7 linked regions of the Mus musculus genome follow. The protein of the gene in region 5 interacts with the protein of the main gene of each other region in a pairwise test. Links are inferred from orthologs where the notes say so. Each region holds a gene or a part of one and is shown on either strand. Other genes may lie near its edges.

Region 1 (4,132 bases), on a different chromosome or scaffold from region 5:
AATATGCACCTCTGTTTTAGATAGATTTTTTTTTTTAAAGAATCCTAAGCCCATCTTTTTGGTCACTAATTTTCCTAAAAGATCAAAAGCCCTTGTGTTTTTCCTGTCAACTTTTTAAAATTTCAAAACGCTTTGAAATGATGTGTCTATCTCGTGAGTACATGCAAACGTGAGTGCAAATACCTTCGTTGGCCAGAAGGGGGTGTCAGGGAGCCCTGGAACTGGTTATAAGCCATTGTGAGCCTCTAAGAATTCCATCCTCTGTAAGCCAGACAGGCTTGACTACTGAGCCATTTTCTTTAGCCCCTTCCCCTAAAGTTTTGTTGTTCTTGTTGATTTGCTTATTTATTGGGACGGGTCTCCTTCTGGCTGGCCTGGAGCTGCCTTTCCAGCCTGCCTTGCAATCGGAGTGCTGGGAATACAGGCTTGGTCAAACCACTCCCAGCCTTCCTCAGGTCCATGATCTCAAGTCTTTCTCTTTTTCATCTCCTGTCTTATTTATTGCTCTTACTGATCTACTGATGTTCCTAGCTACATTGTAAACTTTGATGACCAGCACGTCCGGATGACTTAACAAGGATCATTCCACAACTGCCTGTTAGGCTGTGATCAGCTCTCTAACGCAATTGATGGTCTAGATCAATACGGACCCTAACTACATAAAAACATTTCCACGGATAAAGCTTAGGGATTCCCCGGTGCGACTTACAATGCAATATATCTGCAATCTACAAACGCTACAGGTCGCAGGCAACGAAAGTCTCAGCTAGCAGACAGGCCTTGATAGGGCTGACAAAGATGCTAATCGGACAGCCGCTTCTAGGGATAACTTCCAGGTTTGTTTGTTTGCAAGCTAAAAGCTTGAAGCAGAAACATGTGCCCGGCTCTCCTAAGGCCAGGTGGCGCTTCCCGGGTCGGGGTGGCGATCGCGTCAACTCAAGTAGAGACTCACCATCAGGAGTGTAAAGTTCGTTAGGTCGGGGACCGACTCCCCGCAGGGAACGAACATGACTGCAGTGGGCGTGGGAGCAGCTTGAGCGCCCGCCGGGATAGCGAGGCCACCTCCTTGGGACAGAAGGCGCAACTCGCGATCGTCCGGGGTCCTTCGGGTCCTTCGGGTCCTGCAGGCGTCCAGCGCGCTGCCTGCGCGCAGGGCAGAACGAGGCTGGAGCGCGCGGCGGGTAGCGCTCCCCGGGGGGCGTAGGTCGAGGACTGGCGACGGAGGACGTGGGGACCGCGCGCGCGGGATCCGCGAGGACGAGGAGGCGGAGCGGTGGACGGCGTCGATCAGGCGGCTCACAGGCCAGCCCCGGCGTCTGTCAGTCCCGCACCGTTTGAAGACAGTTAAGTTAGTTGGGGCGCCGCGGCTGCCGGATTCCCGCCCTGCCAGGTCTGACGCGGCCGCGGCGCTTTGTGCTCCGCCCGCCGCTGATGCTGCGCGCCCGGGACGACGGGCTCCGCCGCTGCACCGTGTGAGGTGGGCGACTAGCGGCCGCGAGGCGCCAGCGCCGGCATGTCGCTGCCTCCGGAGAAAGCCTCGGAGCTGAAGCAGCTCATCCACCAGCAGCTGAGCAAGGTGAGGACCTCGGGCGGACCGGTCCCCGCAACCGGAGCTGCGGAGCGGGCGCGGGCGGGCGGGCGGGCCGGCAAGCTTCGGTCGGGTGTGAGAGCCGAGGGAGCCGCTGTGAACCGGAGGCGGTCCCGGCGCTTTCCAGATGTCCACGTACAAGTTAGCCCGAGGCCAGATGTTTAGGGTCCCTTTACACCAGGAAGGCCGATGGCAGTAAGAAGTTATGGGAGACGGGGCGCTCAAATGACTGACAAGGAACGCGTTTACCCCACTCGGGGCTTCCAGGAGTCTTCCCTTCTGTCCTCGACTGCCGGCTGTAAGCTGAAGTAATAAAGCCTCTTTATGGTGGTGGTGGTGCGCCAGGGCTTGTGGCCAGAGTCTCTAGCTTCTTTGGTCGAAACCTCAAAACGGTCTCGTTTTTCCTTCGCACGGGCAAGGAAATAGACGGACAAATTAGAGTTCCAAGTTGAATAAGCGAGAAAGCTGAAATAACTCGCTCTTTGTTCTGCCTCCTTCCAGGTCTGCGTTCTTTTGATTATCCTCCATTCCCTCCCAAAAGAATTGCTTCCATTGACTTATTTGCGGGCAACCAGCAATAACGGTTGATAACCAACCAGTTCAGATTGCTTCTTATGTTGCTCAAAAGTTTCACCTCTTAAAAGGCTCAATTTTTATTGGCACTGGGTATTTGCCATTAGTTTTAGAAGCCTAAAACTCTACAAGTGGTATTTATCTACTTTATAATGTTATAAGTTGCTTTCCTGTTTTTGTTTTGTTTTGTTTTTTGGGGGGGTTGTTTGTTTGTTTTTGAGACAGTGTCTCTTTGTTTAGTTTGTCTGGCTGGCCTGGAACTCAAGAGATCCTCAGGTCTCTGACTCCTGGGTGCTAGGAATAAAATTACACCACCACCACCAGGCGTAATTTTGTAAATCTTAATGTGTGGTTTCTCCATAGATGGATGTCCATGGCAGAATAAGAGAAATTCTTGCAGAGACTATACGAGAAGAATTAGCACCGGATCAACAACATTTATCAACAGAAGATCTGATCAAAGCTCTAAGACGTCGAGGAATCATTGATGATGTAATGAAAGAACTTAATTTTGTGACTGTGAGTAGCAGTTTACAACATAAGGTCCACACTCGTGGCTTCTCTTAGAACTACCATAAGTTCACTCTGTCTAGTAATAGCCATTTTTCCTAGTTTTTAAGAAGAATTTATATGTATGGCTGTTTTGCCTACATGTAGGTCTGGTGCTCACAGTGTTCGGGGACAGCTGTGATCCTCTGGAACTGGAATGAGCCACCAGCACGATGCTGGTGGGGGGAATTGATCTCAGGTCCTCTGGAAGAGCAAGTGCTCCAAACTGCTGAGTCATCACTGCTGCCCCTGTAATGTTCTTCCCTCTGTCGCTGCTTGTGTTTCCAGACTGGGTTTCTATGAGTAGCTCTGGTTGGCCTGAAACTCATTTTATAGACCAAGGTCTTAAATTCACAGAGATTGCCTGTTGTCTGCCTCCTGAGTGCTGGGACTAAGGGCATTTGTGTTCATTGTCACCGCCTGGCTCCTTTTCTGAGAGGTTCTAAGTTGGCCCCACCGTGAGTTGGCAAATAGAGAGTTCATGAGATAGGAGTTGTTGGACACTGTATTTCTTTCGCTGACGTGACAGAAACTTACGCTATGCTATAGCTCTCTAATTCATTTAGGTTAGGTTTGTTTTAAAACAAATACACTCACAAGATTCCATCAGAAAAGCTCTGGCTGCATAAAGCCCTCATTTCTCTGTACAAATAGGTCAGTAATGGGATATATCCCGGTGCATTTTGTAAGTAGGCCTTATTTTGAAAATGAGGCAATAATGAAAAACTGTGGCCTCAATACAAGAGTCATATTCTACTAAAAATAGGATGGACTTCATAATACGCTAGAGAATCGGGTATGTTAATACACTAGCCTCTTTTGGGTTTTGAGGTTTGCAAACCTATTTGTTATAAAAACTGACCCATTAACAGCCTCTGCTTCATAAATGTTACTTTTTAAAACTCAGTTCGTGGTGGGCTAGAGAGAGAGAGTTCAGAGGTTAGGAACACTGACTGCTCTCCCAGAGGTCCTGAGTTCAATTCCCAGCAACCCATATGGTGGCTCACAACCATCTGTAATGGGATCCGATGCCCTCTTCTGGTGTGTCTGAAGGGAGCGACAGCAGTACTGCATAACACTGGCTGTCTTAGAACTGTGTGCCAAGGCTGGCCTTAAACTCACAGACCGCCTGCCTCTGCCTCCCAAGGGCTGGAAGCAAAGGAGTGCGCCACTCTGATTAACCAACTACTGTACAGGGCTTAAAGCAAGTGTAGCTTATTTAAGGTATCAGTTTGTTTTTTAAAGCCAGGCTTGGCAGCTCATGCCATTTCTTCCAGCATTCAGGAGGCAGAGAGAGGCAGAGCTCTCTGAGTTCAAGGCCAGCCTGGTCTACATGTGTTTAGCATTTAGTGGATGGCAAGGCTTAAAGACAGTTTAATCCCTTCATATTAGACTTTTCCCAGTTAGATCTCTTTGGCTAAG
Region 2 (4,361 bases), on a different chromosome or scaffold from region 5:
GTGTGGTGTGGTGCTAAGTATACCCTTTCTCATTTTTTTTCTTTTTCTTTTTTTTTTTTTTTTTAGAAAAATAAAACTCTATTTGTACAAATATACAAGTCCACATTCTTTTTGCCACTTTCCACTTATAATGTCAGACGCTGGCCTCCAAACACACAGTCATCATAGGGCAGCTAAAACAAGAGAGGGGAAAAAGACATATTAAATTCCTAGAACTTCACCAAGACATTGGGATAAGGGGAGAGCTGCTGCTGAAATAACTCCTATTCTTGGGCTCTTTTTCTCCTTAACCCAAATAGAACAAGGGCACCAGGCTGTAGGAGTTTCCCTTACCTATTCTTTCCTTAAAAAAAAAAAAAGTCTAAGCTATTGAGGGGGTGGAGCTTAATGGTTGAACGTGTGCTTATCACCATGTGCTAAGGCCTGGGTTCAATTTCTAGAATTCCCTCATTCCTCAACCCAAAAGGGTAAGCTCTTAAAACAAACCAGAGACAAATTCTTGGGATCCTGGCTTTGCAAGCCGAGTCTGAGAAGTTAAACAACTGAAATCCCTCTGATCCAAAGCAGCCCTAGAACAGCCGTCAGCGTGCTGAGGGGAGGAACACTCACCTCATCCTCTGTGAATTCTGACTCCGTGTCATAGCTCTCCTCATCCTCGCTCTCGGGTAGCATCTGGAGATTTTCCAGGGTCAGCTGGCCCAGCTGCTGCTGTATCCGGGTACTTGGGCGGCCCCAGGTAAGCTGGTAGGGGGAGTAGCCTTGGTAGGTTACCCTGTTGACATCAGCCCCACATTTCAACAAGAGCGAAACCAGGTCAGGATTCTGCAGGTCCACCGCAAGGTGGAGGGCTGTCCGGCCATTGCAGGGCTCCTGAAACCAAAAGCAATCAGGCGTTAGTTTACGGCTGCATCTGGAAACCTGCTCACCATCAGAGCCAGCCCAACAGAGATTAGGTGGAAGGGAGATGTACTCACCTGAGCGTTGACATCAGCACCCAAAGTCACCAAGTGCTCCACGATGGCCAGGTAGCCGTGGATAGAGGCTAGGTGCAGACACGTGTGGCCTGGAGGAGGAAGACAAAAACTGTAACTACGTGTTTCAATCCTCACACAACTCATGTCTATTGTCTTGAGGACAACCACAAACATCATCAGTTTTGAAGAACTCAGAATCTGGGTTCTGAGTGAATATCATATAGGCATCGAGGAGAAAACTTTTTAAAAAGATCACAGTGTCTGAACTTTGTATACGTTCGGAGTTTAAGACTCAAGTGGCCCCATCTCTCTCCCTCCTCTGCATCCTTGGATGGACTGGCAGACCTACCATTGTAGTTGGTGGCCTGCAGGACGGAGTGGAGATGCTGGGGTGTGCAGGTCTGCGTCAAGACTGCTACACTGGCCAGGCAGCCCTGCTCACAGGCAAGATGTAGAGGGGTATTTCCTCGAAAGTCTCGGAGCTCAGGATCACAGCCAGCTTTCAGAAGTGCCTCAGCAATTCCTGGCTGGTTGGTGATCACAGCCAAGTGGAGTGGAGTCTACAAATGGAAGAGGAAACAGAAAGGGATAAGCCATGGAGCAAACCCATAGTCTTGAGTTTCCTGAACCCCAGACACCTCCCGCTATGGAATCTGATCCTCCCATTTGTCTCTTAGGAGATCAGGCAAACAGGAGGCCCTAGGTGGGTCATAAAGACCTCACTAAACCCAAGGGATTTTTCTTCTGGTTCTAAGACGTTGGCTGATTTGAATGCAAAAGGCCAAGGCAGATAAGAACTAAGTGACTATTAATTTAGAAACGCTTTGGGGGCGACCGTGCTACATCTGACTCCACCAAGGGGTCAAAGAGGGCACCCGCGGGGCAAGCAAGCAGCGCACCTGCTGCAGGTTGTTCTGGAAGTTGAGGAAGGCCAGGTCTCCCTTCACCTGACCAATGACTTCCATGGTCAGCGGCTTCTCTTCGTGGATGATTGCCAAGTGCAGGAACCTGAGGGATGACAGGGAAACCCCCCGAGGGGTGGTGAGCACACTGCGTGGGGGGGGGGGAGGCGCGGGCTGGAGGTGGGGTTGGAGGGGGGATTGCGCAAGGCCGGGGTTTCTGGAGGCCGCGGCCGCGGTGTTTTCCGCGAGGTTATTATGAGCTGAGTGTTCCTGGCAGCCGCCCAGGGACTTTCCGTGCCCCACCCCCTCCGGGCGGGCGCCGGCCAGACCGGCCCGCCCTCCGCCGCCCGGAACGCCCTGTACTTCCCCTCGCGGCCGCGCGGCGCCCGGCGGCTGCGCGCCACCGCTGCCAGGCCGGGACTTTGCGTCCTCGCCGCCGCTGCCGCCCCGCCCCCCCCGGCCTGCGCTCGGCGACTCCGGGTCCGGGGACAGGGGAGGAGGGGGAGGGGGGAAGACAGGCGGCCCGCCGCAGCCCCGGCGCCCCGCAACCCCGGCGCCCTCGCCGTGCAGAACCCCGAGCGCGCTGCAGGCCCCGCGCGACCCCCACCGGTGCCCGGCGCCACTTACGAGTCTCCGTCCTCCGTGAGCTGCTGCTTCCAGGGCTCGGCGGCCAGCGGCGCCTCCTGCGGCTGCAGGCGGATCTCCCGCAGCTCCTTCACCATTTGCTCGTACTCCTCGTCCTTCATGGAGTCCAGGCCGCTGTCGTGGCGATCGTCCACCAAGCGCTCCTTCTTGAGGCCATCCCGCGGGCCCTCCATGGCCCAGTCCTGGCCGTGCCCAGCTGGCTGAAACATGGCTGTGCGGGGCTGAGCGGGTGCAGGCTGCAGGCTGCTGGCGGCTGGCTGGCGAGGTCTGACTGTTGTGGGCTCGGCAGCGCCGCCGCGGCGCCCTATAAACGCTGGCAGGGGATTTCTCAGGGGCGGGGTCAGGCGCGGGGAATTTCCAAGCCAGTCAGACTAGAAAAAGAACTGGCTCGTCCTCCACTGAGAAGCCTAAACCCAGGGCCGGGGTTCATCGGAGAAACTCCCTGCGATGAGCCACTGGGGTCATGCACAGGGAACTTTTTGATGAGCCCTGAGTGGCTGGAAAGTCCTCCCGACCAGGCCCCCTCCCTCTAGGTACTTCCCTGCAGCCTGCACTCAGTAACCCCAGCCCTCTGCAAGAACCCTTCTTTCCCTGGGGTTTCCCACCGGGCGATTTTGGTTTGGGGTCCCAAGCTGCGCAGCTTCCAAGGACGCAGACCTGCTAGGCTGTTCCTCTTAGCGATTTGCCAGTTTGCAGGTCTTTTCCGGTTTTTGATCTTTTTGAAAACCCAAGAGTGGAAACGCTGGCTAGGTGCAGGGATTCGCTTCTCCTAAATTTCTGCGACGACGGACATATGAGTGGTTCCGGGGCCGGCTGTGTTTTGTCTGTTCCAGGCCCTTTGCAATGCAGGGACATTTGGCTGTCCTTCACTCCTACTCCATGAAGCTGTAAAAACTTTGGCATTAAAACAAACAAAACCACCACCACCACCAACAAAAACCAAGAGCTTGGAGAACCCCTAGATTATTTCCTAGGGGTCAATAATCTTGCCCCCCCCCCCGGGGGAGGGGCAAATCCTAGCTCCGTATGGGAACCACATTTTTCCCCAAGTAATGCAAGCTGTTAATCTTAGTAGAAGTTGTAGTTTCCTTGCAACCGCAACTGTTGCGTTCTTGCTGTCGGAGTTAACTTGTTGCAGAGAATGAAGCCGGAGCTTATTGTGAATGCCTAGCAGAGCAATTGACTTAGTGCCCTAGCCAAGGCTGGCCTCTCAAACATAGCTAAAAAAGTAACTGTGAGGTATCCTGCAGGAGGCTCAAGATAGTCCTAACACAGACCCCATCTGAAACCTGCTGCTTCTATCAGCTTCCTTGCTCCCAAGGGACCGCGGCATTATGGGTAGCTGCTCCCCCAAGAAAGGGATTTGGGCCTGTGAGCCTCTAGTTTAACCGGCAAAAGTACAAATGTTACTTCCACCCCACCCCTACTTAGGGAAAATTAAAGCAACGTGGATCAGAGTTTGTCAGACCAGATCCAGGAGGCCTCTCTAGTTCTGCATAGATTTCTGGTGAGATGTGAATGATCTTTTTCTTAATGAGCCTTATGTCAGCTTTCCTCTCTTTGGAATTCCAGCGCCTCCCCCTGAGTATGCATGTGAAGACACTGAGGGAAAAGATTCAAAATCCAGGAAAAACCAAAAAGCCTCCAGACAGTAAGGGCCAGGTTAAAGTTAAAACTTCCTCAGCGAATTCTCCTTTTCCTCTCAGTGGCAAGTTGGATCTGCAAGTGTAATTGAGTGGGACATAGTGAGATTGATCATGAGCAGGACATCTCAATTCCACGCTCTGCCTTTCATTAAATACATTAGTTGGAGAAGTCACTTAACCTTTTTTTTTTATGG
Region 3 (3,571 bases), on a different chromosome or scaffold from region 5:
GGGGTCTGCAACCCTATAGGTAGAACAACAATATGAACTAACCAGTACCCCAGAGCTCGTGTCTCTAGCTGCATATGTAGCAGAAGATAGCGTAGTCGGCCATCATTGGGAAGAGAGGCCCCTTGGTCTTGCACACTTTATATGCCCCAGTTCAGGGGAACACCATGGCCAAGAAGTGGGAGTGGATGAGTAGGGGAGCAGGGAGGGTGGAATATAGGGGGCTTTTGGGATAGCATTTGAAATGTAAATGAAGAAAATACCTAATAAAAAATTGGAAAAAGAAAAAAATAGAAAAGAAAAGGATCTCACAATTCTATCAGGTAAATTAGTGGTAAGGATAGCGAAAACTAAGCTAAAGGAAAGAAACTCAAATGCTGACTCCAAGGGGAAACAATGGTTTCATGTATTTAAGTGATATGGACACATTGTGTGGGGGATGGGGTGGGTGCATGTTTGTGTGAGTACAGTGTACATGTATATGGGTCATGACAACCTTGGGTGGCAGTCCTCTCTTTCCATGCTTGAGACACTCTCTTGGTTGCAGAGTGTGCATGAGGCTGGCTGGCCTTCAGGCTTCCAGGGATTCTCCAGCCCTCACATCCCTGGTGAACACCTGCTGTCACAGGCGTGTGCTCCAGGCCTAGCTCCTAAGCATGTCCTAGGGATTTAGACTCAGGCCTTCTTCATATTGGTGCAGCAAATGCTTCACCTACCAAGTTATCTAATGAAGTCACAGTCTGTTTTTAAATGATGAATTTTCACTTCTTTAATTTAAAAAAATCAATATAAATAAAACTTAGTAATGTTGGAGAAAGATACAGAGATGGCATCTAGGTGTGAAATGGACTTGTGACAGTGCTGAGAACCAAAACTCAGCAGACAGCAGTCCCCAAGGAATAGTGCTGTAGGCCTTCCCATCTCCCTCCCTTGCACTTGGCTGTAGCCCTCTCCTACCTTCTGCACCAAATACCTCTCCACAGTGAGAGCAGAAGAAGTGCTCTGGGTGCCATGTCTTGTTCATTGCTGTCAGCACTTTCTGAGAACAGGAAACACAGAGAGGTATTAGAAGACTTTAGAGTTGTAAAGCATGCCCAGGGCTCTGCATACACGGTCAGACAGTGCATGAAAGCTGTCAGGGTGGGGCTTTACTTACATCTGTGATGGGAGCAGCACAGTAGGCACAGCGTGGAGAGAACAGGCGGTGGTAGTCTTTTGAGCAGTAGGCCAGGCCACTCCGCTCAAAGAAGGGACTGGAGCCGAGCTCCTCCTTGCAGTGAGTGCAGACAAAGTGCTCTGGGTGCCAGGATTGCCCCAGAGCATGGATCACCTAGGAACATCATAAAGCCTGACATGGCAGTGCAGCAGAATGTACCCCTAGGGGGCACTCTGCATGCTGCATTTCATATAGACCACACCTCTGGGTTATATACAAGTAAAATAACCAGACTGATCAAGAAGCCAAGCAGATTCTACTCCTCAGATCTGAGCTCCTTGTTTCTCATCCTTCTGGAGTCAGATCAGAAAGCCCTGTATCATGGTTTTGGTGATAATGATTCAGAGTAAGTCCCAGTATCTCTAACTTAAAGTTACATTTAGCTGAAATTGCATGGATTACATATAAATCCAAGAATGTCTGAAGAAAGGGAACAGCATAAAAGGTAATCTCAGTAGTGGCAGTGAACAAAAGTGATTAGGAATTCAAACTCGGAAGCTAGACTGTCCTGGACTCAAGTGTCCCCCTTGCTTCTTACTTACTAGACCTTGGTCTTGCCAGTCAGTGTCACTGAGCTCTTGGCTTCATTGCTTGTGCAAATGGTACTCTAATAAAACCTCCTTATTGGGTTGATTCAAGTATTAAATGCAGAAATATTTACAAAACACTTAGTTCATATTACTGTAAGCAGTCAGTGACTGATAACAAGTACTCCAGCATCTTATAATATAAATAGAAAGAGCCATCCTTGGACACCCACAAACACAGAAGCTATTGGCCTGACATCCTAGATCACCCCACCTTCCCAGCAATTGGCTTCTGGCAGGAAGCACAGTAGCCCTTGGGGACTGTGGCAATCCCAAGATCTTGTAGTTCCTGTTCCAAGTCCCCCAGCATTGAGTCCAGAGATGCCTTGTGATCCTGCTGGTCTGGCAAGGGTTTCCTGCTGGTGTCTGCTTTCACTGAAACCTGGGACAAGGAAAGAACCACAAAGAGAAATCACCCCACGTTCACCTTACTTTTTGACATCCGCTATACAACCTATCAGTTCACGTCCAATGACAGATCTTGCTTTCCCCTAACCTTCCTTCAAGGTGCTGGAGACACCCAACATGAACATGAATAAAAACACTTTTATTTCTACTTTATTTCAAATTCCTTGACCAAAATGATACCTGATTTGTCATTTATTTGTAAATCTTCTGGCTGCCAAAAAAAAAATTGAGTGTATGAAGATTAGTCTTGGTGGCTCTTACAGTGGCCCGGGTAAAAACTATTTTATTTATTTATTTATTTATTGCCAAACACCTAATTTGTTCCACTCAGCATTCTAAGAACTTACTATAAAGCAATATGTAGAAATACTGAGTTTCTAACTCATGGAATTTTCATCTATGAATGGCAGGCAATAAACGTGATGCATGTCAGATAAAGAAAAGATGTAGGTTATGAGGTTGATGTGCTGGATGTAGTGTGATAAGTGCCAACTGACTCGGGCAGTGGCCTCTGAGGAAGAGTACTAGAGCAGACTTGAGCATATGTACTCAAGAATCCAGACATACTGGCATTAGTGAGATTGTCATTCCACAGAGAGAAAAGGCCCAAAGAATCAAACCATCTGGCATATTAAAAGAAAAGTTACAAGAGGAACAGAGCCAGAGCAGAAGGACTAGGACTGAACACACAGAAGACTGTATGGAGGGAAGTGAGGATTGTCTAGGTCCTTTATGGAAGACGTTTGACTCATCTAACAAGGGGGGACTGTGGCTGGCATGCAGCTAATCTGAGACTAAGGAAAGCGAATGTGGAGGAATACTTTGCAACGATTTGTGAGGTATTTAAGGCCAGTTAAGAGAGAGGGTAGCATTAAAAAATGGGGCTCAGAACTGAACAAAGAATTCTCACCTGAGGAATACCGAATGGCAGAGAAGCACTTGAAAAAATGTTCAACATCCTTAATCATCAGGGAAATGCAAATCAAAACAACCCTGAGATTCCACCTCACACCAGTCAGAATGGCTAAGATCAAAAATTCAGGTGACAGCAGATGCTGGCGAGGATGTGGAGAAAGAGGAACACTCCTCCATTGTTGGTGGGAGTGCAGGCTTGTACAACCACTCTGGAAATCAGTCTGGCGGTTCCTCAGAAAACTGGACATAGTACTACCGGAGGATCCAGCAATACCTCTCCTGGGCATATATCCAGAAGATGCCCCAACAGGTAAGAAGGACACATGCTCCACTATGTTCATAGCAGCCTTATTTATAATAGCCAGAAGCTGGAAAGAACCTAGATGCCCCTCAACAGAGGAATGGATACAGAAAATGTGGTACATCTACACAATGGAGTACTACTCAG
Region 4 (3,159 bases), on a different chromosome or scaffold from region 5:
TCTCTGGGGCTGAGAGGACGGTGTAAACTGGGCACTGAATGGAGGGTGAGGAAAGGCCCTTGCTAGGGTGCTTGTGAGTTTAGCAGGTCCTCATCCTACGAATCCTGCTTACACCACTAGGGGGCAGTATCATGAGCTCAGCCAGGATGCTGTGAACAGCCTAAAGAACAAAACAGGTCTCTAGTGTGGACAGACTAAGGGGAAGGGTCGGAATGTAAGAGGCCTGGCCTGGAAGTCAGCGCCCTTAGTTGCTGCACCCCGAGTCCCACCTATGTATACTATATGTCAGGCTTGACTCTCTTACTCAGTAAGGAAGCTCTGTCCCTGTAGCCCCATGGTACTCCCCCTGGGGTCCCTAGGCTTCAATAGGCAGTGTATAGGTGATAGGTGTCAATCAGCCCTGCCAGGCACTTCAGACCTTGGGCTCCATACAGGCCAGAAGCCTGCTCTCTCCAGGCAGGACACATTCCCTGCTCAGTGCCAGCCTGAGGCTAACCCCAGAACCAATGACGAACACCCTAGGCCCAGCAGTATGGCTAAATCCATTTATTTCCCAAGTAAAAAGCAAAATAAAGAGGAGCTGCATCAGCAGGTGCCACAACCTTGTCTCCGCCTCCTGCCCTCTGACCTAACACTACCAATAAATAAGGTTCCCAGCCCAAAGTGATTATTAGAAGCTCTTCCCATTTGCCAGCTCCAACCTCCACTATGATACAGGGGTGTCCCTACCCCGGTATATACAAAATAGTACACAGGTACAATATGTACACCGGGGGAGGGGAAGGCCACCCTGCCCCAGCAGCCTCTGTCCTGCTTGGCGTAGTTACCCCAATTGTCATAAGGCCTGAGAGAATGGTACCCACTTTCCCTGTCCCAAAGTGCCTCAAAAAGATGGAAGCCCTCCAAAGTGGGATGCCTTCCTGAGGCAGTTAGCCCCAACTGCCTGAGGACCCATGAAGTGCTGCCCAGCCCCACTGCCCTAAAGTGCCTCTGAGAAGATGGGAGTTGATCTGGGGACCTGCTGTGCCCTGGGTTCCATCCCCAGCATCACCACACAAAGGAAAAAGGCAGGGAGTGCTGGGGGTAAATCACTTGGTAGAGTGCCTGCTTAGCACTGCCAACCACCAGGCACAGCGGTGAGGCAGGGGCTCAGCTCGGGCTACAGGAGACACTCCGTAAAGAAAATGAAGATAAAATGGGGGCGGGGAGGAAAAGGAGGATAGGGAGGACTGAGCCGGTGAAAACTTAGAAGCCCTGCTGAATGCTAGGCCAGTTTACCAGCCTGCACTGCACCTGGGCACGAGAATGCTGCCACTCTGTTCTGCCCCAGAGTCCTGAGTAAGGCCTGAGGCCCTCCTTGGTGAGAAAGCCCCCAGGCCACCCAGCACAGTCTGCTCCATCACTGAGTCTCTGGCGTTCTTTCTGTAACAGGAATTTACAAAGTAAAACTGCCCTGGCTAAGAGGCAGATCTGTACCAGTCTGTGTCCCCCATTAAGATAGGAGCCTGATCTTTTGGTTTTTTCAGACAGGGTCGCATGTAGCCCAGTGTGGCCTCAAACTCACTAGGTAGATGAGGATGGCTGATTCTTCCACCTCCACTTCCCAAGCACTCAAATTACAGGTATCAGCCTTTTCAGAGGTACTGGGGACCCAAGGCTGTGTGCACAGCAGGCAAGCACTCTACCAACTGAGCTACTTCCCCAGCCCCTGGAGGGGATGGAGTCTGACCTTATTATTATTATAAAGATAAGGGTGGCTGAGGAAGGGTGTGGGTTGGGGCAGAACCTCTGGCTGCCCTTGCTGAGGCTTTGGCCGCCAGTCTTTTATACAACCATGATCTTCACCTCGTCGTTCTCATCGGCACGGTAGAAAAAGGGGATGCAAGGGTTGCTACCCAGGCCTGGCCGCTCCCGGGGGTTCTGGATCTCACGCAGCAGCTGCATGATCTGCTGTGCAGTAGGGTTCTCATGGGGAGCAGGTACCCCTGCCTCTCCTTGTGCAGGCTCTATATCGTCAGCCAGGCTCACCTCCCTGAGGTCTTTAGAGAAAGGGGGAGGGGGTCATGGCTCTGCACGCCATGGGACTCCTCCCCTTTGTGCCTTCCCAAGAGACAACAGCTCTACTCACCATCCTGCTGGTCAGCAGCACCAAATTCCTGGGAGCCTGTGGGCACTGGGGTGAGCACGTCACCAGGGTTCTGAGAGACGGCCAGGAACTTGCCCTGCCATTCATTGCGCTCGTTCACAAGCCTCAACACCAGCTCCTGGAGCTCCAGCAGCTTCACCTGGAGAAAAAGGAGCTCAACTTGAAGGGCCCAGCCCAGATTAGGCAGGGCCTGGACTACAGAAGTGTAGGCCTACCTTCATCTCCTCCTTGTCCTGAGCCAGCCGGCTGATGTATTCTTCCTTCTCCAAATGCCGAGCCTTCAGCACCGCCCTCTGATTTTGGTAAAGGGCAATGTACTCTCCTGTGGAGACGGCAGGCAGGTGGACAAGGCTCAGACACTGTGGCTCCCCCAGTCTACCCCCCTGCACAGCCCCCACTGCCTTGGGCTGGGCTCCACCTCACCAATGGTGTCTGTCTCTCCAGAAAGCTGAATGCAGCAATGTTCAAGCTCCTCTACCCTCTCCTTGAGCTCCACTTTCTCCTGCATGACCTCCAGGAAGCGGCTCTGGAGCCAAGACAGAGGTCTCAGGGACTCAGGAGCCCTGGCTGGCCCCCACACTCCCAGCCCCCACAGACAAACTCACCTGCAGCTTCTCCATGGCTACATGTAGGGCCTGATTGCTCTCCTCAGATGCAGAGTCATCCACATTCCTGGGGACCACTGCCTCCTTTTCAAGCTTGCTTTGGACTGGGGCTGCCAAGTGAGACAAACTCCGGCAACGTGCCTTCTGCTCTTTCAGCTGCACACGTAGTCGGGCCTGTTCTTCCTCTGCTCTGGCTATAGCGGCATTAAAGAATGCCACCTGCACACAAGAGGGAGGTGTGCCTTTCAGGGAAATGCTCAGGACAAAGGGGGCAGGGCAGAGAGGGAGACTGACCACTGGCTTCCAGGCACAAAGTGGCAATCAAAAGAAGTCAGAGGGTAGGAAACCGAGGACCACAGAGGTAGAAAAGAGAAGGGGCAAGACAGAGCCCAGCTCACCATGGCCTCT
Region 5 (3,571 bases):
AGGGAGCCGAGCTCCAGTGAAGGGTGAGCTGGGGCCAGGGACTCAGGCTCCCTGCTGACCCGGTCCACTCTGCACTCCACTCCCAGTGGCCTCTGCACCACTCCCACTGGAGTATGAGACAGAGAAGGGACCCCAACCATCAGTTGCTCACACTGTAGGACAAGGACACAACTCTAGCAGGCACTTTGCTGCTCTTGTATGGTTTGACTCTGATTTGCTGAGTCAGATAAAGCAGCCCAACAGCTAATCCTTGTTAAACCCGCTGCCCCTGTCCACACAAAGTGACCAGAAGGGACCGGTCATCACCTTGTCTTCTTGGCTGGCCTCTCTGGTGTCTGGGAGCGGGAGGAAGCTGGACTGGAGAAGGGAGAAGATGTGGGACCACTCCTCTTCCACAGCTGCAAGTCAAGCAGAGAGACAATCTGAAACTACTACTGACAATATGGCTATGTAGGCAGATATTCTGACCTGGCCAGGCAGGAAGGCACACACCTTTAATCCCAGCACTAAGGAGGCAGAGGTGGATAGATTTCTGTGAGTTCAAGGCCAGCCTGCTCTACATAGTGAGCTCCAGAACAGCCAGGGTTACTGAGAGACTGTCTCAAAAAACTAAAAGAAAAAAAAAAATCAAGAAACACAGCAAAACTAAACCTTTCTGAGAGACTGGAGAGATGGCTCAGTGGTTAAGAAACACTTGCTGCTCTTGAAGAAGACCCATGTTTGGTTCCCAGCATCCACACCAGACTGCTCACAAATACTGTAACCCTGTTCCTAGGATGATGGATGCTTTCTGGCCTCACACAGGCTCAAATAAATAAAAATATCTTTCTTTTCTTTTTTTAAGACCATATCTTACTGCATAGCCCTGGCTGCAATTTACTATGTAGGCCAGGCTGGTCTTGTTAGAGTATTCCACCACATACTGCAAAATAATAAATCTTAAAAAAAGAAATAAAAGGACTGGAGAGATGGCTCAGCAGTTAAGAGCACTGGCTGCTCTTCCAGAGGTCCTGAGTTCAATTCCCAGCAACCACATGGTGGCTCACAACCATCTATAATGGGATCAGATGCCCTTTTCTGGGGTGTCTGACAGCTGCAGTGTACTCATATACATAAAAATAATAAATATCTTAAAAAAGAAATAAAGAGGTAATTCTTGTATTCATTACATATTCTAACAAAAATCATCTATAGTAAAAAGTACAGCCTCTATTTTTACAGATTCTGATATTCCATGAATATGAGTATTAGATACAAACTGGGCATGGTGGTGCAAGCTGAACACCTAGTGCTTGGAGGCTGAGGCAGGAGGATCACTACTAGTTAAAACCCAGCCTGAGCTGCATGCACAATAGCCAGGGATACATGAGACCTTGTCTCAAAAGGCAAAAGCAAACACCAAGGGCGACTGATCTACCTGCAGGAGCCTGTGCACCTCCTAGTGTCAATACCAATACTGGAGCCCAAGTGTGCCTGACAGTGGAGCTGCCTGGCTTCCCCACCTATGGGCTCTAACGAACTCTAAACAAGAATGACATCTACTTCATGAATCAAAGCTTACACTAAATCCTACTTGCCTATAAATCTCCTTTATACACCATTGCATACACTAGCAAGCGTTTGCTGAAAGGACCCTGATATAGCTGTCTCTTGTGAGTCTAGGCCGGGGCCTAGCAAACACATAAGTGGATGCTCACAGTCAGCTATTGGATGGATCACAGGGCCCCCAATGGAGGAGCTAGAGAAAGTACCCAAGGAGCTAAAGAGATCTGCAACCCTGCAGGTGCAACAACATTATGAACTAACCAGTACCCCGGAGCTCTTGTCTCTAGCTACATATATATCAAAAGATGGCCTAGTTGGTCATTACTGGAAAGAGAGGCCCATTGGACACGCAAACTTTATATGCCCCAGTACAGAGGAACGCCAGGGCCAAAAAGTGGGATTGGGTGGGTAGGGGAGGGGGGGGGGAATGGGGGACTTTTGGGCTAGCATTGGAAATGTAATTGAGGAAAATACGTAATAAAAAAAAAAAAAGAAAGTTTAAAATAAAGAAATAAATCTCCTTTACATTCCAAAGGGAACAAAACCTTTCTAAATCAGTACCATTTACTGCACTGGTCCATCTGCAGGTTGCTCCATCTGGACCAGGTTTGCTTTCTGTTCAGTCCCACTGATCTCGTTAATTTGCTTTGTATTCCAGTTAGCCTAGAGACAGGTTCAGTGCAAAGCAACAGAGGGTGAGCTGCATCCTCTGCTCCCGGCCCTGAGACATACCTGTGAGATGCCACGGGTGGAGCTGTAGGAGCTGGTGATGGCATTGCGGCTAGAACTGGGGATGCCTCCTGTGCACGCACTAGCCAGGGAGCTCACAGAGGAGGTGCGAGACCGTTTGTTCAAGTGGTCATCTGAGCTCTGGGAAGCCAGACTTCTCTTCAGGGAGCCAGGCCTAAGAGAAAGGAAGAAGTGTACATGCGCTACTGCAGGCGTATTCTGCTATTTCCACCATGGTGCCTCACCTTTCTGAATAAACCTGAAAGACCACCACAATGTTCCTCAAGGCCACTGTCAGCAGATGACATGGCTGCCTATGTCTGACAAAGTGACTGGGTAAAAGCACAGCACGGGAAACACAACAGGAAGGGTTACACCTTGACTGTGGTGTCATGGGGACAAAAACGTAATGTCTGTCAATGATCCCTCAATAAAGCTGCTAAGAGAAAAATCATTAAGCCTCTAACTGAAAGAGAAATCTCCCATAATCCTTTCTGTCAATGTGTGTTACCTAGCCCTACTACAGTATGGTCCTCTTACCATTTCCCAGGCAAGTGCATCAACCACAAACCAGTTCGCTGACAACTGCAGCAGAGGCAGCCAATGTTCCCCTCCTTCCACTAGCACACCATCATCTTGGCTCGCTCCCAGATGCCTGTGCCTCCTCTAGGCTGGAGCCTCCAAAGCCAGCCCCTGTCAGGCTTTCCTACCTCAGCAGTCCACACTGTGTATGCATGTCTCCCACGGTGCAACACAGTGAGCTGAGTGCAAGGCTTGACAGAGCCTTTTTACCACACTGGAACTTATGCACCTTCTATGCAAACTTCCTCTCATACACTCCATATCAACACTTCCTGCCCTGCAGAAGCCTGTGGTCCATTTGTGAAGGGTCAACTGCACCATGTTAGTGAAGCAGAGTGAGACAGAGCAAGCACGAGACACTGGCTGACTGCTTTAGTTAGTGGTTTACTTAAAGCACTGCTTACGGCCCATATCTAAGCATCACTTCACTTACTACTTGGAACAGAATACCTGGAAAATTACCAGTTTGTTGCTCTTAACAACCTGACCACAAGAGCTTACACCTGTCATCTATAATACACCTTTAAAACAAGCTGACTGCTCATACGCATCTGTAAAATCGCACTTGCTTATTCGTCCCACCTCATAGTTTAGATGAATAGAAGATGAGAATATGAACGGGCCCAGGACCAATCAAGATCTTTTTAGGAGCTATCCTGGCTTCAGTCAACTAATGAATCTCTCTTCTCTCACAGCTATCAGAGAACTTACTCCA
Region 6 (4,179 bases), on a different chromosome or scaffold from region 5:
ACATGAGTGATCAGGGCTGGAGTAAGTGTACAGAAAACTAACACCACAGACAGTATCTATGATGAGAGAGGCAGACAGGCAGGAGGCTTCTCAGCCTCAGCTTTATGTGGAAGGTGGCGTTCAAGCCAATTTATTTGCAAAGCTGCTAAAATATTGACTGATGCGTGGCCAGTTAGAGGACAATCAGAGGAGATTAAATGCCACAGCTAAGCTGTTATGGTGCAATCCCTTTCCAAGAGTTCTTGCGCATGTTTTTTCTTCTCTCTGGTGGCTACCTCTAGCTTCCCCTGGCATAAGCTTCATTCAAAAATAAAATAAAAATAAAAACCCTCGGCTATCAAACTGTCTTAGCTACCCACCCACCATCAGTAAACCAGAGGGTAGGCTTAACCCAGGCTTCTAGGAATGGCAGGGCTCTTCATAAAGCTGGACACGGTTTAGCAAACACTATTGCAAAAAAGTAACCAGCTGCGCCTAAAAATACCCAGCATGTAACTACCTTGTTGCCTACGATCTATAGCAGTGCTGTTTAAATATTAAGAAGAGCTCGCATTATAAAACAGAAATGTCACTGAGATGACACTACTAGGTTGCTACAGGGAAACATAGGGCATACACACATTCCCCTGCATACCAGGCAGAATGTGAGGTGAGAACTCTAAAGCATTACTTTTTATTCTGTAGGTGGTGTGGGGTCTTCTAATTTTACTAATTGTATCCTGTGGCTCTCTCTCTGACAAACTAAGAAACCTCTTCGGGGACAGAACCAGTTTGGAGGAGTTCCTACTGCACAACATACGGTAAACAAAATAAAAATAGCTTGCCTTTCTTGTTAGCCACATAGCGCATTATATAACCAGCTTCCGACTGGCTTCTTTTTTTTTTTTTCCGCCCTTACTACTCTTCAGCAATTTCCCAACCTTCCCCAAGTATTTATATTGCCCTCTTATCTGTAGGATTATACAGCAAGAAAGCAAAACAAAACAGGACAGCCACGGGATCGAACTAAACCCCATCCTCTTACCCCTGATCCTCCCCCCACCCCACCCCCCGCGCCCCTGGCAGAGTCTAGATACAGCACCCTACTTCCACCCCCCACCACTAAGGTCCTTGCTCAATCTCCCTAGAAAACCTGAATTGTTTCACCTCTTGCAGTCAGCTCTCTACGTGGTCTGAAATAAAATGAAAGCGCACAAGCCACAGAGTTGAAGGAGGCGGCTCAAGAGAGGTCGAAGCGCTGCAGAGTCAACCAAGGGACCACCGTGGACCCCCACCCCCACTCCCCGCTCCCCATCGCGATGGTCCTGGTCCCCGCCCGGCGCGCGAACACACGCACACACGCACCTACACACTCACACGCACTTACTCCCTCCTCTCCGACCCCGCCTCACCTCTCGCTCCGCCCGTCCGGCCCCTTCCCTGCCCCCTGCGGGACCGGCCTGCGCGCTCGGCTGCAACCACGTAGGAGGCGGCGGCGGTGGCGGCGGCAGCCCTGGCAGTGGCAGTGGCGGCGACTCGGGCCCCGAGTGAACGAGCCGCGGGGCTCCGGGGCACATCCCAATCCCCGCAGCGCCTCCTCCGCCGCCACCTCCTCCTTCCCCTCCTCCCGTCTTCATTCACCCTCTCTGCCGCCGCGCAGCAGAGCAGTCCCGGCGCAGGGCAGCGCCCGCAGCTCCTCCGCTACTGCTGCGGGCGCCGGCAGAGTCGCCGGGCCGGGCTGGGGCGCTCGCGGGCTCCCGGCTCCAGCTCCGGCGGTGGCGGCGGCGTCTGCTGCTGCTGCTCTGGATCAGGAAGCGGCCGCACCAACAGGGCGGCGGTGGCAGCTGCAGCTAGGGCCGGTCTTCTCCCGCTGCGCTGCGATGGCCCGCGCGCCCTTGCCTCCTGAGGCGCCACCTCTCCGCGCCCCTAGCCTCACGCAAAGTCCCCTCTTGGTCCCCTCGTAGCCCCGAGAGGCTGGCCTAGGCGGGGAGACCCCAAGCTCGGGGTTGCCTCTGTCAAGCTAGGCGACCCCGGGCGGGGAAGCCCAGCCCTCCCTCGAGCCCCCGCAGCGCTCACCGCCCCCACCCGGGAGGGGGGACTGGAGAGGAGCGAAGAGGGCAGCGCGACCCTCCGCGGCTGCCGCCTCCCCCTGCGCCACACGGAAGGAGGAGGACCGGGCTCTATCCGCTCGCCGCCGCCGGACCGGCAGCAGCCGAAACGGGGCGCCGCCGTTCTCCCCACCCGCGCCCCCCGCCCGGGCGCGCCCCCTCTCCTGGCGGCCGCCCACCCAGCCCCTATCTGCTGCCCTTGCTAGCCGCTCCTGCTCCCAGAGGGGGTCCCGAGCCGGGAGGCTGGAGCCGGGCACTAGTGTATGTACACACAGTCACACATACACTCGCGCGCGCGCCTGCACACACACACACACACACACACACACACACACCACGACGCGTCGGTTTCCTTCGCTCCTCTTCCAGCTGTTTTCCGTGCAGCCCATTGAGACTGGGGGAGGGGGGGTGTATGCTGGATGTTCTTTGGCCCCTCTCCGGAGAGAGCAGATTGGGGTGCGGGAGGGGGTGATTTTAATCTAAATCGGGGTGGAAGGGGGAGGGGGAGAGAAAGAATCAGAGGAGGAAAAAAAATAGCCACTTACTGTAAAGTGTAAATGGATCTGGGGTTGCGTGGGGAAGGGGTAACAGAGGGAGAGACACAGTGTCCTGCGGCTGCTGTAGCTCTAGCTGCGGCTCCACAGGGCTTGTTTTGGATCCCCCTGCAGTGAAACAGGTCCTGTACGGCTCCTCCACTGTAGTAGAAATGATGTCTGCGGTATACTCTGCTCTCTCCTCCTCCTCCTCCTCCTCCCCCCTCCCCTCCCTCCTCCCTCCGCCCGCCCTCCCTCCCTCGCGCTCTCTCTCGCGCTCGCTCGCTCGCTCCAGTATGTAAATGTGTAATAGAAGCCAAATATGGAGCAGTTGGCTGCCGCCGCCGCAGCTCAAGGATCCGACTTCATGGGGGGGGAGGGGGGGGGGAGGCACCCTCTGGCAGGCGGCCCGGCGAGCCGCACAGAGCACGGCGAGCGCACGGCGCGGCTGCCGGCCCGCGCCCTTAACCCTTCTATGCACCCGGGCTGGAGCGGCGCTCGCTCCAGGGGAGGCCGGGTTGTCTCTCCGCAACTGTGGCTCCGGATCCCCGACACCGACCGGAGGGGACTGTGCCTTCCAGGTTTGAGAAAGGGGCGGGGAAGTTGGGGCGATGAGGTCATTGGAGTGGTGACCGATCGGTGCTCGCGCGCCTCCCCGGCTCCCTGCAACCTAGTTGGAGGGGGACAGGGTGAGTGCAGGGTGCAACTCAGGCAACCTGGGAGACTCGCAGCGACGGGTGTCAGGATTTGGCTCCTACTTGGTAAAATACCCAAGGGGGCGGGGAAGTCGGCTGATTTCTAATTACGAAGTGCCCTTGGTGCCCCCCGGGTGAGCATCTAAAGAGGACTCATTGTATCCTTACTGTTAACCCTCCAACCCGCCAGCCCTGCGTCATCCGAGGCAAGGCCCGCGCCTGCTGCCTTGGCTTGCAACTCGGGAAAGTTCTCAGGCTTCCCCAGCTTGCACTGGCACCCTCACCTTTCCTGCCTGGACAAGCTGGCGACCTCCCGGTCCTCCTTTCAAATTCTGCTGGTCTCGAAATCTGCTGTGGGCATGGAACGCCTCAGCTCTAGCTAGCCCTGGTAACCGACCTCACTCACTCCTCAGGGCTAACTGTGGATCATTCATTTCATCGCAAGCGAGGTAACCTGTGCACTGAGCAGTCAGTCGATGGTGGTTCTCGGGGAAACCAAGCGAAGGAACGCTCCCCCACCCACCTTGTCCCGGTGGCTAAACGCAGACGTGGACTCCCCACCCGGCCCCCTCCGGCTACACCTCAGCCAAGCGTAAGCTCGAGGGAAGAACTCTTCTCTGGAGGCGTTCACCTTGCCAACAGGTGTGGCACCCGAAAGAAGAGCCATCACATCCCCACGAGGGTCGCTCAGTGCCGCGTTCTCTTTGCAGCAGAAAATTCTTGAAGACCAGTAGGTGTCAGGCCAGCATCTGACCTCTTTCAGGTGCTTAGAACTGAGAGTCTGGAAACTCGATCCCTTGGTCTCGCTGGAAGCCACTACTATTTATTGACTCTAAGCCGGATTTGAGAGACCTTTTGGCTCCG
Region 7 (3,571 bases), on a different chromosome or scaffold from region 5:
AGCTGCTGCTCCAGCTCTGCATTCCGGGTCTCCAGGTCCTACACGGGGAAGACGGGGTGGGGTGGAAGCTCTGGTTGCCAGTTATGGCTGATGTGGCCCATGGCTCTCACCGGGTCAGTAAAGTGCCATTAAAGTGTGAAGTACTGAGTTTGGAATCCAATAGCTACATACAAAGCATGGCTGGCAAGCATTTGTAATCCCACTGCTGGGAAGACAGGCAGGATTCCTAGAGCATACTGGACAACCTAAGCATCCCCAGGCCAGTAAGAGACACTGTTTCTTCCTATTCTTTTATTTTTTTTTTGATTTTTTTTTTTTGGAGATAGGGTTTCTTTGTGTAGCCCTGGAACTCACTCTGTAGACCAGGCTGGCTTCAAACTCAGAAATCCTGCCTCTGCCACCTAAGTGCAGGGATTAAGGGCATGCACTGCCACTGCCTGGCTAGAGACCCTGTTTCTAAAAACAAGATGGACTGTAGAGATGGGTCAGTGGGTAAGAGTATGAACTTCTCCAGAAGACCTGAGTTCACTTCCAAGCACTGGTGTACAATACCACACATGTAACTAAATCTTAAAGCTACATGCACTGCATGTCTCACAGGCCTTTAACCCAGCACTCGGGAAGCTGCTGCTAGAGACACAGTCAGTATGAAAAACAAAAACCCCAAGATGAAGGTTTAATCCCCAGTACCCACATGATAGAAGGAGGGAAGAATGCTTAATAGCATGCTCTGGAGCCAAGCACTTTTAATGAAGTGGGCAGTGGAACTAAAGAGATGGTTACCTGAGGGCCCTGAATTTCAGTTGCCTTTCACCCACACATAATCTAATGCCCACAGCCACTGCCAGCAGCTGTAACCTCAGGGTGGGAGAGCAGGGTCCCACTGTTGATTGACTCAGCACCCAGCCATTCTGGTAGTAAGATAGTCTCAAAGGATGGTGTGCAAAGAAACTGAGGAAGACAGCAGCTCCAGCTTCCATACACATGCATGCGCATCTGTACCCACATGGGATGTATGTATGCACATACACTATACACAAAAACCCATGATAGGTGGTACCTGGGTGACATATAAATGCATAGAACAGGCTTCCTGTAGATTCTCTCCCTGGGAATACAGTCCTGTGACCAGGAGGGCCAATGATTCTGGGGTCCTGGGCCTTTGCACAATCTGCTCCCGCCCTCGAAGACAACAGGGTCATCTCCCCAGGACATTCCTGGAGATGCTCCAGATACTCTTGGCTGAGGTCTCTGGAAGTTTCCCTGGGACCTTAGACTGCTCAGATGTGGGAAGACTAAGTATGAGGTTGCTTAGCAACTTTAAGTAGACAGCCCTATTCCACTCGCAGGCAGATGGGACCTGTTCTACCCCAGGGGGTCACTCTTACAGCTGAGGTCCTGCAGCCAACCTGAACTTGCTGCTGTGTCTCTTCGCGCTCGGCAGTGTCTGGAGCCTCTCGGGTGCCAGTGCTCTGATTCTTCAAAGTCTGGATCTCCTGGAGAAGAAGGTGTCCCAGGTGTCCTCAGAGGCCCTGGATTCCCGAGGAGAGTACGACACGATCCCTAAGCTTGCCCCTGGCTCACCTGGTCCTTGGTCTGCACCCGAGCCTCCAGCTGCTCCACCGACTGGCTGGTTGCTTCTTTCTCTCCTGCCCGGACTGGCTCTACAGCCACCTGGGCCTCCAGCTCTGCTACCTGCACACATGCAACCCAGTGGTCCTACCATCCTCTGGGACATGAAGGGCCTGATGACCCCTATGAAGCTCTCACAGTTTCAAATCATTTTACAGCAAGAAATGGCCTGCTGGGGACTGATGGGTAGAAGGGATGTGGGGTGAGGGGTCCTCACCCGCTGCCTCAAGAGTTCAGCCTCTGCACGTTGGACCTCCAGTTGTTGCCTCCACTGAGTGGCCGCTGCGTTGGCCTCCCGAAGGGCTCCCGCCAACCTCTGGTTGCTGTCCTGAAGCGCGAAGAACTCTGCCTCCCACTGGACCTCCCCTACAGAGCTGGAGGGAAGACACCGGGCTGGGGGTGTGCATGGTCAGGACAGTGGCATCTGGAGGAGGCTATCCTGGACTAAGCAGGGCCAAAGCAACACTAAGCCAGGGAGTGGGACCATGAAACCACATGTGGAGTTGTGGCTCATCAGAGGCCGAGACAGGAGAATCCCCTTAGGAACAATGTCAGCCTAGGCTATGTATAATGAGTTCTGGGATATATAACAGGACCCTACCTCCAAAAATATTTGGAAGCCTATCCCTGCCCTCCAGATTGCCATGAAAGCAATGGGGGGTGGGGAGAGGGGTCAGGCCCATGGTCAAAAGAGATGGGGGTATGAATGATGAGGAAAGTGCAGCCTCCTTTCCAGAAGAGGCAGGAACCTCTCCCAGGTCTGTAGTTTCCTACATCCCCCACAGGTCTCACCTCGATGACCACGCCCATCCTACTGCCCACGTCCCTTACCTCTTGCAGGACCCTGACCCCAGAAAAACCATCCTAATGGTCTATCCTGGGGATGTCCTACCCTATCACACTCCTTTAGTGACAATCAAGACCCTGACACTTGCTGGGCAGTGGTGGCGCATGCCTTTAATCCCAGCACTTGGGAGGCAGAGGCAGGCGAATTTCTGAGTTCGAGGCCAGCCTGGGCTACAGAGTGAGTTCCAGGACAGCCAGAGCTACACAGAGAAACCCTGTCTCGAAAAAACAAAAAACAAAACAAAACAAAAGACCCTGACACTAGAAACCACCCGAAAGTTCAGTCTGAACACAAGACACCCCTTAGGCCCCTGCCATGCCCATCTGGCTTCATGCAGGCTCCACCAACTACACCACTCACCCTTCTGACAGCATCTTCTTCAACCGTTCCCGCTCGGTGGGGCCAGGGGTGTCCGCACTCTGGCTACGGAACAGCTTTTCCTCGCCTGGACCATTGGTGCTGACCAAGGGGCTTGGAGGAACCTGTGCATGGGAGCCAGGACTGGGTCACGGTGGGCATTTGCTTCAGTCAAGGTCATGGTAGGAAGTAAAGTTGATTGAAGCCACTGGGGTATTGAGGTCAGGGAGTCTGAACTGACCCCCGATGACCAGTGTGTCTCTTTCCTCACTGGTGCTCCATATCTCCCCAGAACCTCTGGATAGGGAATCCTGTCCCCCACCTGCCTGGTGTCCCTCAGGGCCAAATCAGAACAGCCTACAGAAACAGGGATCTGAACACTTGGAACTGCTCTCCCTCAGGTAAAATTGAGGCATGGGCCAGCGGAAGGGCTAGTCACCAAGCCTGATGCCCCGCTGAAAGAAGAGAACTGACGCCCACAAGTTATCCTCAGAGCTCCACATGTGCACCCAGGCACACGCACATGTGTGCACACGTGCATAAATGTGGTTAGGCCACCAGCCATCCTTAGACACTAATACAGTGCATGGCCCCTGATATCAGAAGCATATATGGCTGCCTCAGGGGTGTGGTAGTCATGGGGTACTGTAAGACATGGGGTGCAGGAACACCTACCTGATGGGAGGCAAGGGCCAGGCCAGTACTAGTGAATTCTCCACCATCTTGAGATTTCTC

The links.
Region 1: the proteins of Pom121 (region 5) and Cep76 interact in binary tests that used the Homo sapiens proteins (3 or more experiments, as listed by UniProt). The two-hybrid records come from large-scale screens. The link is inferred for Mus musculus from reciprocal best matches to the Homo sapiens genes POM121 and CEP76.
Region 2: the proteins of Pom121 (region 5) and Nfkbia interact in binary tests that used the Homo sapiens proteins (3 or more experiments, as listed by UniProt). The two-hybrid records come from large-scale screens. The link is inferred for Mus musculus from reciprocal best matches to the Homo sapiens genes POM121 and NFKBIA.
Region 3: the proteins of Pom121 (region 5) and Lpxn interact in binary tests that used the Homo sapiens proteins (3 or more experiments, as listed by UniProt). The two-hybrid records come from large-scale screens. The link is inferred for Mus musculus from reciprocal best matches to the Homo sapiens genes POM121 and LPXN.
Region 4: the proteins of Pom121 (region 5) and Golga2 interact in binary tests that used the Homo sapiens proteins (3 or more experiments, as listed by UniProt). The two-hybrid records come from large-scale screens. The link is inferred for Mus musculus from reciprocal best matches to the Homo sapiens genes POM121 and GOLGA2.
Region 6: the proteins of Pom121 (region 5) and Atxn1 interact in binary tests that used the Homo sapiens proteins (3 or more experiments, as listed by UniProt). The link is inferred for Mus musculus from reciprocal best matches to the Homo sapiens genes POM121 and ATXN1.
Region 7: the proteins of Pom121 (region 5) and Homer3 interact in binary tests that used the Homo sapiens proteins (3 or more experiments, as listed by UniProt). The two-hybrid records come from large-scale screens. The link is inferred for Mus musculus from reciprocal best matches to the Homo sapiens genes POM121 and HOMER3.

What each region holds. Positions count from the first base shown.
Region 1 is NC_000084.6:67,638,556-67,642,687, reverse strand, and holds the start of Cep76 (centrosomal protein of 76 kDa), read left to right. Parts: upstream 1-1,332; 5' UTR 1,333-1,513; coding exon 1,514-1,576; intron 1,577-2,524; coding exon 2,525-2,680; intron 2,681-4,132. Other genes in the region: Psmg2 (proteasome assembly chaperone 2), read right to left, coding at 953-1,009. UniProt on the Homo sapiens protein: Centrosomal protein involved in regulation of centriole duplication. Required to limit centriole duplication to once per cell cycle by preventing centriole reduplication.
Region 2 is NC_000078.6:55,489,797-55,494,157, forward strand, and holds the start of Nfkbia (NF-kappa-B inhibitor alpha), read right to left. Parts: upstream 2,852-4,361; 5' UTR 2,731-2,851; coding exon 2,504-2,730; intron 1,983-2,503; coding exon 1,874-1,982; intron 1,535-1,873; coding exon 1,324-1,534; intron 1,064-1,323; coding exon 975-1,063; intron 871-974; coding exon 610-870; intron 174-609; coding exon 126-173; 3' UTR 1-125. UniProt on the Homo sapiens protein: Inhibits the activity of dimeric NF-kappa-B/REL complexes by trapping REL (RELA/p65 and NFKB1/p50) dimers in the cytoplasm by masking their nuclear localization signals.
Region 3 is NC_000085.6:12,822,555-12,826,125, reverse strand, and holds part of Lpxn (leupaxin), read right to left. Parts: intron 2,183-3,571; coding exon 2,015-2,182; intron 1,328-2,014; coding exon 1,154-1,327; intron 1,037-1,153; coding exon 955-1,036; intron 1-954. UniProt on the Homo sapiens protein: Transcriptional coactivator for androgen receptor (AR) and serum response factor (SRF). Contributes to the regulation of cell adhesion, spreading and cell migration and acts as a negative regulator in integrin-mediated cell adhesion events.
Region 4 is NC_000068.7:32,305,286-32,308,444, reverse strand, and holds the end of Golga2 (golgin subfamily A member 2), read right to left. Parts: coding exon 3,150-3,159; intron 2,971-3,149; coding exon 2,752-2,970; intron 2,673-2,751; coding exon 2,570-2,672; intron 2,469-2,569; coding exon 2,362-2,468; intron 2,286-2,361; coding exon 2,129-2,285; intron 2,040-2,128; coding exon 1,825-2,039; 3' UTR 532-1,824; downstream 1-531. UniProt on the Homo sapiens protein: Peripheral membrane component of the cis-Golgi stack that acts as a membrane skeleton that maintains the structure of the Golgi apparatus, and as a vesicle thether that facilitates vesicle fusion to the Golgi membrane.
Region 5 is NC_000071.6:135,384,547-135,388,117, forward strand, and holds part of Pom121 (nuclear envelope pore membrane protein POM 121), read right to left. Parts: intron 2,450-3,571; coding exon 2,278-2,449; intron 399-2,277; coding exon 307-398; intron 1-306. UniProt on the Homo sapiens protein: Essential component of the nuclear pore complex (NPC). The repeat-containing domain may be involved in anchoring components of the pore complex to the pore membrane. When overexpressed in cells induces the formation of cytoplasmic annulate lamellae (AL).
Region 6 is NC_000079.6:45,962,183-45,966,361, forward strand, and holds the start of Atxn1 (ataxin-1), read right to left. Parts: upstream 2,810-4,179; 5' UTR 2,633-2,809; intron 2,444-2,632; exon of another isoform or gene 2,423-2,443; intron 2,203-2,422; exon of another isoform or gene 1,392-2,202; intron 1,256-1,391; exon of another isoform or gene 1,147-1,255; intron 1-1,146. UniProt on the Homo sapiens protein: Chromatin-binding factor that repress Notch signaling in the absence of Notch intracellular domain by acting as a CBF1 corepressor. Binds to the HEY promoter and might assist, along with NCOR2, RBPJ-mediated repression. Binds RNA in vitro.
Region 7 is NC_000074.6:70,289,442-70,293,012, reverse strand, and holds part of Homer3 (homer protein homolog 3), read right to left. Parts: coding exon 3,512-3,571; intron 2,962-3,511; coding exon 2,840-2,961; intron 2,007-2,839; coding exon 1,850-2,006; intron 1,696-1,849; coding exon 1,585-1,695; intron 1,497-1,584; coding exon 1,410-1,496; coding exon of another isoform or gene 1,389-1,409; intron 148-1,388; exon of another isoform or gene 39-147; coding exon 1-38. UniProt on the Homo sapiens protein: Postsynaptic density scaffolding protein. Binds and cross-links cytoplasmic regions of GRM1, GRM5, ITPR1, DNM3, RYR1, RYR2, SHANK1 and SHANK3.